Mytilus edulis: one gene and its partner. The protein of the gene in region 1 interacts with the protein of each later gene in a biochemical or structural test. Links are inferred from orthologs where the notes say so. Each region holds a gene or a part of one and is shown on either strand. Other genes may lie near its edges.

Evidence for each region.
Region 2: the proteins of E3 ubiquitin-protein ligase rfwd3.S-like (region 1) and replication protein A 32 kDa subunit-A-like form a complex in vitro, tested with the Homo sapiens proteins (3 studies listed by BioGRID, with this or other methods). The link is inferred for Mytilus edulis from reciprocal best matches to the Homo sapiens genes RFWD3 and RPA2.

Annotation. Positions count from the first base shown.
Region 1 is NC_092350.1:74,942,515-74,950,160, reverse strand, and holds the start of E3 ubiquitin-protein ligase rfwd3.S-like, read left to right. Parts: upstream 1-4,570; 5' UTR 4,571-4,593; intron 4,594-6,733; 5' UTR 6,734-6,773; coding exon 6,774-6,896; intron 6,897-7,095; coding exon 7,096-7,197; intron 7,198-7,646. Other genes in the region: TBC1 domain family member 7-like, read right to left, coding at 821-958, 1,798-1,982, 2,614-2,800. UniProt on the Homo sapiens protein: E3 ubiquitin-protein ligase required for the repair of DNA interstrand cross-links (ICL) in response to DNA damage. Plays a key role in RPA-mediated DNA damage signaling and repair.
Region 2 is NC_092344.1:9,233,919-9,241,354, forward strand, and holds the start of replication protein A 32 kDa subunit-A-like, read left to right. Parts: upstream 1-4,354; 5' UTR 4,355-4,453; coding exon 4,454-4,472; intron 4,473-5,383; coding exon 5,384-5,475; intron 5,476-5,945; coding exon 5,946-6,050; intron 6,051-7,436. UniProt on the Homo sapiens protein: As part of the heterotrimeric replication protein A complex (RPA/RP-A), binds and stabilizes single-stranded DNA intermediates that form during DNA replication or upon DNA stress.

The DNA of each region.
Region 1 (7,646 bases):
TTTTTTTCGAAATAATCAGTGTTACTGTTTATGCAATCCAGAGCCTTACTCAGAACAGCAAAAGTCAATTTCAACACAATCAATCAGACCTCCATTTTGTAACAAGAAACATTAATAACATCAAATGATTGTAATAGATTAGATCAAGTAATCTCAATTTGTTCGATTGGAATTGACATAAAAGGTATTTTCCAATTTGGATTAGACTCTAGAACTGCATGATGAGAACAATATAAAAAAAACTTCACTTTCATTTTCATCAGTAGCATACCAAAAGTTTAAAGGCATTGGTTGTATGGTTTTCTGAGTTTATATGGTGCACACAGAAACAGATAAAGATGCCTGAAATCCAGAACCCCTGAATGTCTGCCCAGTGTTCTTACTAAATTCAATAAACCAGATTATGTTCTTTCATTCATCATGTTCATAATATATAAGGATATAGGAAGATGTAGTGTGAGTGCTAATGAGACAAATCTCCATCCAAATAACAATTTATAAAAGTAAACCATTATAGGTCAATGTACGGCCTTCAACACAGAGCCTTGGCTCACACTGAACAACAAGTTTTTGGGGGAAAATTTTGTTGCTTATGAAGGGAATCACTGAAGCATGACTGGAGGGGGAAATTCTGGATCCGCCACTGGATATAATGCTGTCATCATAGTCTTCAGAATTCATTACAGACCTCTATTAATCTTTTATAAAATAAAGTTCCATCTATAAACACTCTAATAAGAACAGAAAATTACACTACAAACTGCAGTTATGTCCCTTATATCAACAGCTTTAAATAGAGGCAATTACAAAAATTACAAACCAGACTCAAAATTGGTTCCTTCCATTTCAGAAAATATTCATAAAACTTTTTAGCAATCCAGTAAACATTAATATCATCTTCCTCAATATTACTTAAAGCTTCTGAGATAGTAAACAAAGCCATATCATCTGGGTCCACCTGAATATATAAAAATGAATTATCACATTATCACACACACCTAGCACAGAGATTTTAAACATGTTACACATATTTATAATTTGCAGTACTATGTCTTGATTTTTCATAATTTTGATAGTATGAAGGAAATTTTTAAATTAAAAAGGCAATATTTAAACATTTTACCTAGATGCAAACTATTCAAAGTCCATGAGCTATGACTGAAGATGCTGTGTCATATAAGCTCTAAGAAATGAGTATTGCCAATACTTATTAAATTGCATACTAAATACTAAATTGATTTATCATAAATAGTTCCCTTTTAACTAAGGCTTCAGAAACTTTACTCTGGATTCATTTATTCTTGTGTATAAAAATTTCGTGGATTAAGGAGAAGTTATATCTTAATGAGTATTGGATTTTAAGGCAGTGTAAAAAGATATTCAACAAACCTTAAAAAAAAAAGTGTTTTTCAATGTACGTTTGTTTTTGTGGTTTATCTAGATCTATTTTAATGAAATCCATGAAAACCAGTTCTACACCAATAAAAATTAAAAGCATAACCCGCTAGCTTCTACTTTGTTAAATATGCAAGACCATTATAGCAAAAATTTATTCATGTAATTTTCTCTTTATCATGTTTATGGAATGATAAGAATAATGGCCAAAAAAATAGTTTGAAAATAAGTTTTTTAGTAGAAATTATGAACATTGAACATGCAGAAAATTCAAAACTTCAACAATACCATTTTTCTTAAAAGACAGAGAGTCAGCTCTTTTTTAAAATTATGTTAGTCAGAAAATTGACATCCGATATAAAATAAGTACTTGCTGTTAAGGCAGGGCTAATATAAACTTACTAGTTCTTGTTCTTCAAAAGTCAGCATACCAGTTTCTAATTTGTACATTTTTAGAACCAGTAATCCTGCTGTGGTAGAGTTGTCTACCCTTCTCATCAATTTTAGGGCATGAAGTAAATCGTTATATTGTTGTTTTCTTTGGTCCATCACAAAATCATGAGATCCTTGACCACATGGTAAAATACCTTAAAAAATAAAATGTTTAAATGTAACCTGTTTTGTCAACAGTATTTTTTTGTACTCTAAAAAGTACTTTATCTTAATTTAACACATCACTACATATATGACACTTCATTCGATTTTACTTGAAATGTGTAGCATATTTGAAGCTACTAGTGGAGTATAAACTGCTTACCCTTCTGGAGTGTCTGGATTGGGTTTACAGAATAGAGAATAATGAGCCAAAACTACAGAAAAGTTGGCCATAAAAAAAAAGATTATTGTAAAATAGGTAGGAAAAGTCAAGAATAGAAAATCAATGGGGAGCTAAAATTAAACATTTAAAAGAGTAGAAAACAATGGTCAAAATTTATACAGAATAGAAATAATGAATGCTGAAGCAAAGGAACCCCACCCAATCTTGTACCTTCTTCTTGACTCCCTGAGAGCCTGAGTATTTTTCATTTTTTCATTGGTGGTCTCATAAAGTTGCTCAATTTTTTCTTACTTATAAAAATGTGACAAGTTTTGTGGATTTCTGTCTGGTTTTCTTCAATTTCACGGGCGGCTCATCTAAACTATATTGCTCTTTGTTCACAACTAAATAGATAAACTGCATAACAAACAGAGATAAATTATATTAATTTAACAAATTACCTAAAATAACTTTCCATAAATATATTCTGTACTTTGCTGGCACTTGGAACATCAGACAGAATTGTCGTAATTTGTCAATGTTCAATGGATGCTCCTTCAGGAGTATTTCAATGGATTTCTTCTCTTCCACTCCACCTATTCCAAACTTCTTGTAGTAGTATGTACGGAAATTTCTCTCATCTGACATCTTAACTCAGATATACAGTAGATAAATGTTTGAATTATCTCCCTTTGACTACTTCTAACCAGAATATTGACAGCAAAGATTCAAGCAAACTGTTAAAATTTAAAATATTTTAATTAGATATATGGCACTTACGATTTCAAAAGTAGAATCATTCAGGAAGATATAAACTGAGGAGAAAAATTTCTTATCAAATTTCAACCAGTGCTATAAATGCAAACCTAAGACATGTAAGAGTGTTCTCCATACATATATATATACAAATATAATGTAGAGCTAAACCTACATGCCTTCATGTTGAACAAGAATGTGTCCACAGTACACGGATGCCCCACTTGCACTATCATTTTCTATGTTTAGTGGACCGTGAAATTGGAATAAATTCTCTAAATTGGCATTAAAATTAGAATGATGTTATCAAAGGGAACATGTACACTAAGTTTCAAGTTGATTGGACTTCAACTTCATCAAAAACTACCTTGACCAAAAACTTTAACCTGAAGCAGGACAGACGGATGGACGCACAGACGGACAGACGAAGGGAGGCACAGACCAGAAAACATAATGCCCCTCTACTATCGTAGGTGGGGCATAAAAATGTAGTTGAAATGATTGTGACGTCTTAAAAAGCTATTTTTGTCAACAACAAAATCTTACAAGGAGAACGGGCCTCTTTCATGCCTTTTTACATATTTTAAGACATGAAGAGACTTTACAAAACTAAAATTAAAATAGCTTTTCAAGATTTCATTATGATAGACACATTTCAATTTCATACGCTTTCCCTAACATATACTTTGTCACAGTAAAAACAAGTACGCCAAGTTCCAGGAGTTACAATTTACTTAAATCTCTCATGTGAATTCCATCACCATGTGATCAAATTGTAAGCTTAACACGTACTTCAATTGCATATGTACGTGTACTGGTTTTTTAAAGAAAAAGAATGTCAACAATGAAAGTGAAACTATGGTTAATCATTTGATTACTAATGCAATGCACATTAAATCATTCTTATACGGTTAAAAACAACGAGAAACATCTATTTTTAATCTATAAAATCAAATCAAACAGACCTATAACAATCCAATTGTACATGTTGGTTTAATCTATTTACATCTGTATTTATGTTTACATCGCTTATATGGTCATCTGAGGTCAAATCGATTAATTGTATTAATTTGTATGCCATTAAAATAAAATCTGTCTTTTTGTTGTCTCTTTACTGGAGGAACCCAGAAGTTATATTCACTATTTCTATTTTCGTGTGAAATGAAGATGTAAATGTCTATTTTATATTTTATCTGGCAGCGAATTTGTCACAGTAAATTGACCTGAACCCGCTAGGGACCCTCATACCCCTCTCCATGGTTTTGGCGTACATGTAAAAACTACTAAGCTAATTAAGCCACTCATGAGTGTGAGTACAATGATAACATCCTAATATTTTGTTTGCAACTTCATGAACTTGGAACAGTGTTACTGTTGACATGCATTTTGTGCTTATACTAGTGAATTATACCTAGATCGAGCAACAGTCTACTCCTTTATAGAAAAGAGAATGTTGCTTTGATTTTAAACAAAAAATCAGGTAGTACAAAACTCTCCCTCTGAACTGTCATCTGACTGTCCAGTTAGTCAGGATGGATAAACCAAAGTAAGTTCCGATAATATAAATCAGCATCAGTTAAACACTTTATGTAAAAGAAGTATTATTCGAAGCTTCCCTAGTACCCAGATTATTTTATTTCGGCTTGTCTTGGATATTTACATTGCTTTAAATATGATGTTTAGCGGTAAATTTTCTGAAATGAAATGATTATTTTTGAACTCTTGATTTATTTTGGATCTAGCAAATGCATCTTTATGTAAGGGCATATAGTTATATAGATTTTCCAGTATATTCATAGGTAATACAAATGATAGCATGTCATATTTGAGAGAGGAAAAATTATACACTGAAAAACATGCCATTTTTTTAGTTTTTTTTCTCCTGAAAATTATTCCGATTATGCAATTCTGCTAACAACAAATATCATTTATTCTCCTATAAAAAAAAACACGCACAATGTCTTCATGTACAGTTTAATTGATTTCAAAGTCCTCAGCAATTGACTTGGTTAGCTAAAAAAAATAACACAAATTTGTGGCCGATACAAAACTTTTTTTTTTATAATGGAGGACCTCTGACTGACCTATGGTGAGGAGCTGGGCCTGTGTCAGTCCTGCTTCAGTGATTCCCTATATAGTCAACCATTTGCTCCACTGGATCAGCCTATGAACTAAGTGCATGAGTTTCCTGACAAAATGTCCACTACCATCCTCCAGTAAAAGAGCACTAGTAGATCAGTCAGTGGCGGATCCAGAAATTTTCATAAGTAGGGGTCCATTTGCTGCCTAAGAGGGGGACTGATCTCGTCACGCTTCAGTTATTCCCTATATAAGCAACCAATTTTTTTTCTCAAAAGGGGGGCCTGAAACTTAGATCTAATTCAGTTGCTACATTTATTTACATGATATTTTATTAGGTATAACAGCAAGTATTACGTTTACCCTGTCGTATTATGGTATTACTTTTACTTGTGTTTTAGATCAATAATATATTTGTCTTATAATTTGTCTTTAAAACTATATTTGTACAATATAAAATAAACTTGCAAAATGCATTATTTGTGCATCATTGTCCAGAAAATACATACACAAATTGTGAAATACAAAAAATGTACAAAGAACTGAAATCAAACAAGAGAAAAACATAATTAAAATGTGAATAGTTTTTATTATTTTATTTAGTGTATTGCCTCATTTAACGATATTTATCATGTTAATGCATATTGATCGAAGATTAAAGGAAATTGATGACAATCTTGAGTTTTCAACAGGTGTTCACTATTTACAATGATTGTATATTCTGGCGCGTGTAATTGTATAGTCTGACGAGTGTATAAAGTTGAAGGTGTTAATTGGATGTTATTGTAGCAATAAAACAAGGGACAAGCGCTGCGTTAATCTCATTTGATGTTCTACTTTGTGTATTACCTTTAATAGGATGAAGCCACAGCTAACGTTGGTCCTATCAGGAAAAATTAATTGTACAGTTAGATATAATATAAAAAACTACACAATCCCTTCCTCGCAAATTTTTACTTTCTTCATCTATCAATAGAATTATCAATTTATTTCTGCCCCTAAATTAAAAATGATTAAATGCATATTTTTTTATATTTGATAAAAAAAACTGTTTTCTTGTCGCTAAAATTATTCTTCTTGATGCTTCTTGTCGCTTCTTGTCACTTCTTGACGCTTCTTGTCGCAAATTAGTGAGACCTGTGACAGTGTAAAACCAGGAATCCGTGTCCATTCTCCCAAATAAACTTGTTCCTGCCAATTCACATTTGTCCCCTTTCACTTTTGCACCCTGCATGTTCACACCCAAAGTCTGTTTACACCCTACATATTTGTTTTCTTCAAACATTTGTCTAATCTAACTATCTGGCCAACTGTCTATTTGAGAGTCAATTGCAATAACACTTTAATAGAGTTGGACTCTTAACCAGGAAAAAGAAAATGCTACTTTTTAAAAAATTTTAAAACTCTACATACAAATGACATACATGACATATATGTACTAAGCCAAGCATGGAATTGTACATACACATGTACATTTTTATTTTTAAATTACAAACGAAAGTGAACCAACGCCTGGTGAATCTGTAGTACGATAGTCCCAAAAGTTGTGACTGACATGACTTAGTGATCAAACAAGCTGATAGATACATTGATAAAGACAACAGGACTCAACAGCAATGATACCTTTACTACATGTAGTGTGGCAGTGAAATAACAGCGATTGCAATATTGTTGTATATAGTTTTAATAAATCAATGTGAGCTTCTATAGATCTTTATTGCTACTCTATATTTGTTTACGTTTCAGATAAAATCATGGAAATTTTAATCTCAAGGTTATACTTATAATGTCAGACATTGATGTGGAAGGTTCGGATGATGAAATTATAGTTGTTACAGAATCACCCGAGCGGCACATTGATATTGACGTGGAGGCAGTGACAGATGAAGAATTATTTCCAGATTCCGAGGTTGTTAAATTAAAACTATTTAAGATTAAGACAATGTTTTATATCATTTATTTTATTGGAATTTGTTTTGCCATTATATGTCATAGTATGTACATGTGCATAGCTGAAATGGTAAAATATTCTTCCTAGACAAAATACTTATAGCCAATCAGAGGATGTAAAATGGAATTATTAATCAATAATTGTTGTTGTATTTTAGGGAGAAGACAATGATTCATATGTCAGTATCGTGTCAGAGGTCAACGTAGAGGACAGTGATGATGAAGATGTAGAAGTAGACGTAGACACACTTCCAAATCATGTAATTGATCAGTTTATAATCTATAATAGAAATCTATTATTTTGCCCTCGTCATTTCACCCAAAATTGTATGGCAAGTTTATGATAAACAAGTAACAACTTAATTTCAATGTTGAGATATTTTCAACTTATGTTGATGTTCGAAATCAAGAAAAATAAGACTATTTGGGTATATGTTGAAGTTAATGCCTTTATATTGAAAAGCAAACCTGAATGGCTCTCAGATTTTCTTAAAGGCTACTATGAAATCCACTTTTGGGAGTCCTTGGCCTATGTCCCAGAATAATGCAATTGGCTTGACTCATAAATACTTTTAAGCTGCAAAAAAAATATTATTAAAGAGCTAAAATCAATAGAATATATATATACATCTTGAGAGACAAATCATAACTGATTCATGGACAACAATAATTGTCCTACATCTGAATTTTTTCTTTATCATTAATCATG
Region 2 (7,436 bases), on another chromosome or scaffold:
TCATTAGTTTGACTCCCCCCCCCCCCCCCCCCCCCAAAAAAAAAAAACAACAACAACACCAATTAACAGTTGGGTTGAGGTAATGATTACCAGCTACAAAGAATCAGGTATCGAGAAACCCTGAGTATAAAAAAACAGCTTTTCTTCTTGTTTTTTTTCAAAAATGGAATATCTGACACGTGCCTGTAGAAAAACATACAAATATATTGTATTGTAATTTAACTTGAAACGTCGTGTACAGAATGAAGTCATACCTATACATATTGTTGTTCCTGATTTTGAAAATGCTAATCCTGAGGTTTATTCCCGATTGTCCCACTTTTTAAAATTTTAGAGTTCTGATTGTCCCACATGAAAAGTTCTGATTGTCCCACTTGACTCCTTGAAAAGTAAAGCTATTAAATGCACTATAAATTCTTATTTATTATATAAGTATGATCAATTATGTAATTAATATACCATGAGCCTTAACCATTTATTGTTGATGAGTTTGTGCTAATAAATATTTGTATTTGTACTAAAGAAAGTTAAAGATGCATGTCAAGTAACCTCAACTAGAAACTTTTCCAACTCATTGTTTCCTGTGGTCAAAACTAGGGAGAAAAGTTTCATACAGTTGTTATTAAAATCTATTGATTGTAAATTACCTAAGTCTCATGTGTTATAGTAGTCTCAGACTTGAGAAATAAGGTTTATGTCTCTGAATTTATCATATACAAGTCAGTCAGACACATTTAACACTTTTATTGTGTGACCCCTAGTAAAAATATGCCAAATGTCACTATATTTTGAATCAATAGGATTTTTTTTAGGCACTGGCTACGGATACATGGAAATGTAACAATAATAAAAATATTATTGTTACATTGGGGACTAAATGCCGGAATGTATGGTTGGATAAGGAACCGATTAATTACGAATGTAACAATAATTATTGAGGCTACGGTTACATTGCATTATTGTTAAATGAAAAACAGCAATGTTCGATGGGACTAGTAATATGTACTAAATAATAAAAGTTGAAGACATTATCTTATATTTACAATACATACAAGTATAACATACAATTTTTTGATTTTTTTATAGTACGTCCTCCGGCATGGATTCTGAAATCGGACTCGGACATCTCTTAAACTGAGTTTTACTATGCGTAGTGTTGTGCGTTTGTTTTTCTACATTTGCTAGAGGTATAGGGGAGGGTTGAGATCTCATAAACATGTTTAACCCCGCCGCAATTTTGCGCCTTTCTCAAGTCATGAGCCTTTGCATGGTCTTTGTTAAGTCTTGTATGATTTTTTTAATGTTAGTTTCTTGTGTATAATTCGGAGTTTAGTATGACGTCCATTATCACTGAACTAGTATACATATTTGTTTAAGGGCCAGCTGAAGGACGCCTCCGACGGGTGCGGGAGTTTCTCACTACATTGAAGACCCATTGGTGACCTTCGGCTGGTGTCTGCTCTATGTTCGGGTTGTTGTCGCTTTGACACATTCCCCATTTCCATTCTCAATTTTATACATTTATACAGAAGTTCACAGTGTTAGTTCACAGTTAGCAAACTTTGCTTTTGATGTATCAATTTTTGGTAAGTGCGTTTGTGTAGCTGTATGAAATTTGTGTCTTGATATTGTTTAAGTTTTGTTTCAAACGCATTCCATGCAAGTTTTAAATTTTTCACCCAAACAAAATTGGTAATAGGAATCTCTTCATCTTTTGTTCAAAGTATAATGATTTTCTCAGCCCGAGTTTTCAACAACAAACCATTGAACTATATTTTTCGCCTTTGGCACTACTAATTTGAAGTACATCAAATCCATTAATACCTAAAACTATTTTAACACCATTTGTTGAATAATAATATTTATTATTTATTATCATAACAAGTATTATTTAGTAGACATGAATGAATTAAGCAACAAAACTATATAGCAGATTTAAGTTTAATAAATCTAGCGTACATTGCTGTTTTTCATGTAACAATAAGACAATGTAACCGTAGCCTCAATAATTATTGTTACATTCGTAATTAATCGGTTCCTTACCCAACTTTGCATACCGGCATGCCAATTAGTCTCCAATGTAACAATAATATTTTATTATTGTTTAATTTCCATGTAACCGTAGCCAGTGCCTTTTTTTATTTTTATAGCAATACACTCACCAAACTGACATGATTTTAGTTTGATTCACGACCAAAATGATTCACGACCAAAAAAAAACAACTTTGAAAAAATATGAAATATGACTGTGCTGGTTTAATGTGTATCCTGAATATTATAGTCTGATAATGGCGATACTGAGGATCACATCCCCCAAAGGAGCTAATTATTGTCACTTTTATAGTTTGATTCAGAGAATTTTAAGCGGGTGATTGATTTTACCAAGATTCTAAGATTGGTGGTTGTCCTGACATAGGAGGGAGTTGCAGTACAACCTGCTCAGCAGGTGAACAGCAGGATTAACAGATTAATGTTCATATTACAATATTATTATGTATGTATGTTCCGTATCTCCCTCCTTTAGTAGGAGCACCACCATGGGTTATGGTGTAAAAAGGAAGACATTTAACACACTGTATCGGTACAGATTTAATGTGAGCATTTGCCTATCCAGTCTCCCAGCCTGGCCGTGACGGGTCTTACAACCAGAAAGTTAACCTTCCCCAAAACAATAAGTACAATGTAATAAAGCATACGAACACACCCACTCACCTGACTCGCTCATCCTCAAAAATATAAAAAATGCATAATATAAAAAAGGCACTGGCTACGGTTACATGGAAATGTAACAATAATAAAAATATTATTGTTACATTGGAGACTAAATGCCGGAATGCATGGTTGGGTAAGGACCTGTTTAATTACGAATGTAACAATAATTATTGAGGCTACGGTTACATTGCGTTATTGTTACATGAAAAAAAAGCAATGTACGATGAGACTAGTAATATGTACTAAAAAAAAAGTTGAGGACATTTATTACATACATTTATAACATACAATTTATTTACTGTAATTTTTTATTTACAATAACAATTTCTACAAATCCAGTAAGTTGTTTTAAAGTCCGACGCATTTTTGATGAACGATATAACGTCCTTCACGGATACGTGTACATACAGAATTTAAGTTAGTATTTAAGTTACAGTTAGCAAACTTTGCTTTTGATTATCAATTTGCGTCAAGTTATAAAGCTGTATGAAATGTATGTCTTGATATTGTTTCAGTTTCGTTTAAAACGCATCCCAAGTTTTATTTTTTTCACCATAAACAAAATTGGTCCAAAGTATAATGACAGTAATAAGAGTAGGTGTGCAGTTAAATACTTTAAAAAAGTGAAACCATTGAACAATATTTTACGCCTTTGACAGTCACACTCCATAGGCGGATCCAGGGGGGGCCTGGGGGCCCGGGTCCCCCCTTTCGTGGGAAAAAGTTGGTTGATTATATAGGGAATCATTGAAGCATGACTGGAGCGGGCCCCCTCTTAGGTCAGTCAGCGGGCCCCCCCTTAGGAAAAGTTCTGGATCCGCCACTGCACTCCTAATCTTGAGTAGTATTTTTAAGAACATCAAAACCATTAATACCTAGTAAAACATTTGTTGAATAATAATATTTTATTATTTATCAGTATTAAATTACAAGTATTGTTTAGTACATATGAAAGAATGAAGCAATACAACTACAGAAGATTTAAGTTTAATCAAACTAGCGTACATTGCTGTTTTTCATGTAACAATAACGTAATGTAACCGTAGCCTCAGTAATTATTGTTACATTTGTAATTAATCGGTTCCTCACCCAACTTTGCATTCCGGCAATTAGTCTCCAATGTAACAATAATAAGGGATAAGGTCACCCCGGATGCCGCACAAATGCCTAGACAACGAACGGGAAACCGGAGAGGACATACTTGGAATCCAAACCGATACCGCTAAATGCCCAGCTGTATTCCTGGTAGAGGAAAGCCGAAAATCCTATGATAAAGGATCTCGGAAAGAAACTACCGATCCATTAGGGGAACAGCTAAAACCCTCAGACATCAAATAGATTGGTCTGAAGTTTCCCACATGGAAATTACTAATGGATCCCATCTGACTACATGTCTCAAACAAACCTGAAAATATCTGCAGAAACCTTTCTCAACAAAAAAATATAATCCAAATCATAAAATATACGATGTAAGGATAATAATATTTATCCATGAAATCAATTTGACAAAACAATTTCAATGATGTTGATGGATTGTCTCTGCACAAATTTTCACGTCCGCTCTCATCGGCATGCTCGATTCGAGTCCTGAAAAGAGGGAATCACGGTATAAATATTAATTATTTCACTGGTGAAAGTATAATACGCGGAAATTTAACGCATCCTCCCCTGAAACATAATCCGATTACACTTTGTGTTTTGATTTCCCGCCATCTCAGCTATTCTATTTCTTCTCTTAAAAATGTGGAATAATCAAGGAGGTAAGGCACTATTATGATCAAATCAGCTTGACATCAAAGCGATACATAAGTGTATATTATGTAGTTCAAGATCAGCAGTGTTCTAAATTATCAGGTTCTCTTTTTACAGCCGTCAAATGTACGTTGTCAAATATATCCCATTCCCTTTGTCAATGATCTGATGATTTGTGTTGCACTATACTATACAAATCAATGTATATGCCTAGTCATTACTACAAAGGCAATGGATATATAGCTTTGCTTTAAAGACTTCGGTTGACAATGATGTCATTTTGCACTGTTAAAAGTCAACCGATGTTAATAGTTACAATAACAATTACCTACGGCTACAGAACAAAAAATGAATCATGTTTTATTACTTGGTCATGTCGTGTTATATCTGGAAACTCTTAGGTTTGTTGAGCTCTGGGCCTGTAGATTTTAATAATAGTTCATTGTAATAACTGGCCAATAGACCACTTTCGAGTTTGTCCGTCACCAGAAAAAACTTGTCAGTTATGCGTGCCTTTGTGATTTCATTTACCAGATACTATAAACGTTCATCAAGTGTCTTAGTGATCGTCATTGTGCAGGATATACTAAAAATAATATTTGATCGGTAGGTACTTGATCACAATTCCATTATGACAGCTGTGCTGAAAGACAAAATTTTATGAGAATTCAATTTGCTGAATAATGTGGGCAATATAGCTATAGCTATAGTTTTCCAACCACTTGCTTAACATTTGAACAGTAGTGACGACACCACTATATGCACGATTGATGTTCACTTAAACCAGTTTTTGAGCGAAATGCCTGATTGACTAACATGGTTGGTTATATTTTGTATGTTTCCAGGGGTATGGTTAAAAGTCACAAGGAGGGAAGGATATATGTCCTGATTGACTATACATGTTTGGTACTTTTTGTAGGTTTCCAGGGGTATGGTGAACAGTCACAAGGAGGGGGAGGGGGATACATGTCCCCAGGATTTGGCACGCCGAAAGCAGGTCAAGATAAGAAGGTAGAAATGAATTAACATTTTAAGTTATTCTCTACTCAACTGTATCAGAAAAGTCACAACAAGGAATTATGAGGTCTTGAGACAAAGTGCATATTACCAGTTTTACATATTTACTTCAAAAATTAATTTAGGAAGAAAAAATCTATACAAAACTTTCATATAATCATTCTGTAAGATTTTAGTTTAAAACTTTTCGAATCATTAGTTTCAAACTTGCAGTGTAAGTCACAGTCATAGATGCAGTCTCCTCTAAACAAGATAGACAGTTATGAATGCAAATATATTATAAAGCTGAAATACATGCATGTAGTAAAACATCTGCACATTTCTGTTCGATAAGATTTGATTTTTATAACCACTTTAGAATTATAATCTGAACAAATTAAAAAGCCTATGCCTTATGCAATTATTTCTATAATGAACATGTGTAAAGAAGTGTCAAGTTAAAAGAATCACTTATAATTTTATAGTCTGGATACAGAGCACAGAATCTGTTACCAGTGACTGTTGCTGAAGTATTCAATGCCAGTCAAGCTGAAGACAAATTCTTCTCAGGAGAAATAGAGATTTCACAGGTAGGCTAAACTAATCTTTAATGTACTGTAACTTTTTAGGTCCTTAAAATGGAGATTTATATATTGTTCTGACAATGATAATCCATGTATATGGGACAACATCCCTAATGTGCCTCGAAATGAGGAACAAAGTCACGTGTAAAGCAGTGATCTGGAAGGTTTTTTTTCCTATGGGCCCAGGGCCCCTCAAAAATAAATTTAATGGGCCATTTTAAAAAATAATGGGCCATGTTGTCAAATGAGTGGGTCATTTGAATTGACTTCTGTAAAAACAAAATGTATCAGTATATTTTGGCAAAGAGATGTTTGTACTTACCTTTATGATTTTAAATAAAATCATGGGTATTGTTCTGTGATTTTGTAATTTCAATTTCAATGAATATACAATAACTTCTTCCAACCCGAACAATATTTAAGTTAACCGTTAAATTTATTTACAATGTTTAAACTGGTACTGTTGCCGTGTTCATGTTCATGTTTTTTTTTGTTTGTACATTAAATTTGGGTCTTGGTCGATACCATACTTATTCCAGACGTTCCGTATCAGAGGACATTTCAAGCATTTCCTCTGCACTTCTTGTATTATTATAACTTCAAGGTGTGACAAGAATAACATTATAGATTACCATTAATTAATAGAACAAAACAACAAATCGCTGAAGTCATGTTTACAAAAATGTCAAAACGAGCCAAAGACCAAAAAATGACAAGGACAGTTAAGACTATATTCCTAAAAAGTCTTTGGGGTTCTTCAATCGAAATAATAGAAAGCTAAATTTAATGAGATTATTATTAGAGTTAAATCTCGTCTGTACTAGCCAAATTTCACAAATTTAAAGTTTTTTATGAAAAAAATATATCATGAATGATGGTTAAATACGTTTTTCGGGTTATCAGTTAGATCACATGGTTCTATTATTACAATAGGAAAACACCCGAGACGTTAAACCGCATGGTTCTATTATCGTAGGGAAACACCCGAGACGTCCCAAAAATATATAGGTGCTCCTATAATTGGAGGAACATTACACAGTAACTGTTGTGTACACACACATTGCATCACGGAACACGATCGGAAATCCATTTGACGATTTCTAAGCGTTTCGAAACGAAGTGAAAAATATCGTGCGCCACGTGAGCGCTTACATTTGTCACTGTATGCACCATTTCTTGTCAATATGCGCTATAGGCGCAGGGCGCACGACTTTCCTGATCACTGTAAAGAAAAAATCTCTGTGTAGTGATATTGGACATGTTTCTATTTTTAACAAATGACTGAACTTAATTATTTGTGGTAATTAGGAAAGTAGAGGAACATAGAATAAATGTGTTAAAACTATGGAGCTATTGAATGTGTTCAAAGTATTAAATTTTCAAATAACTTAT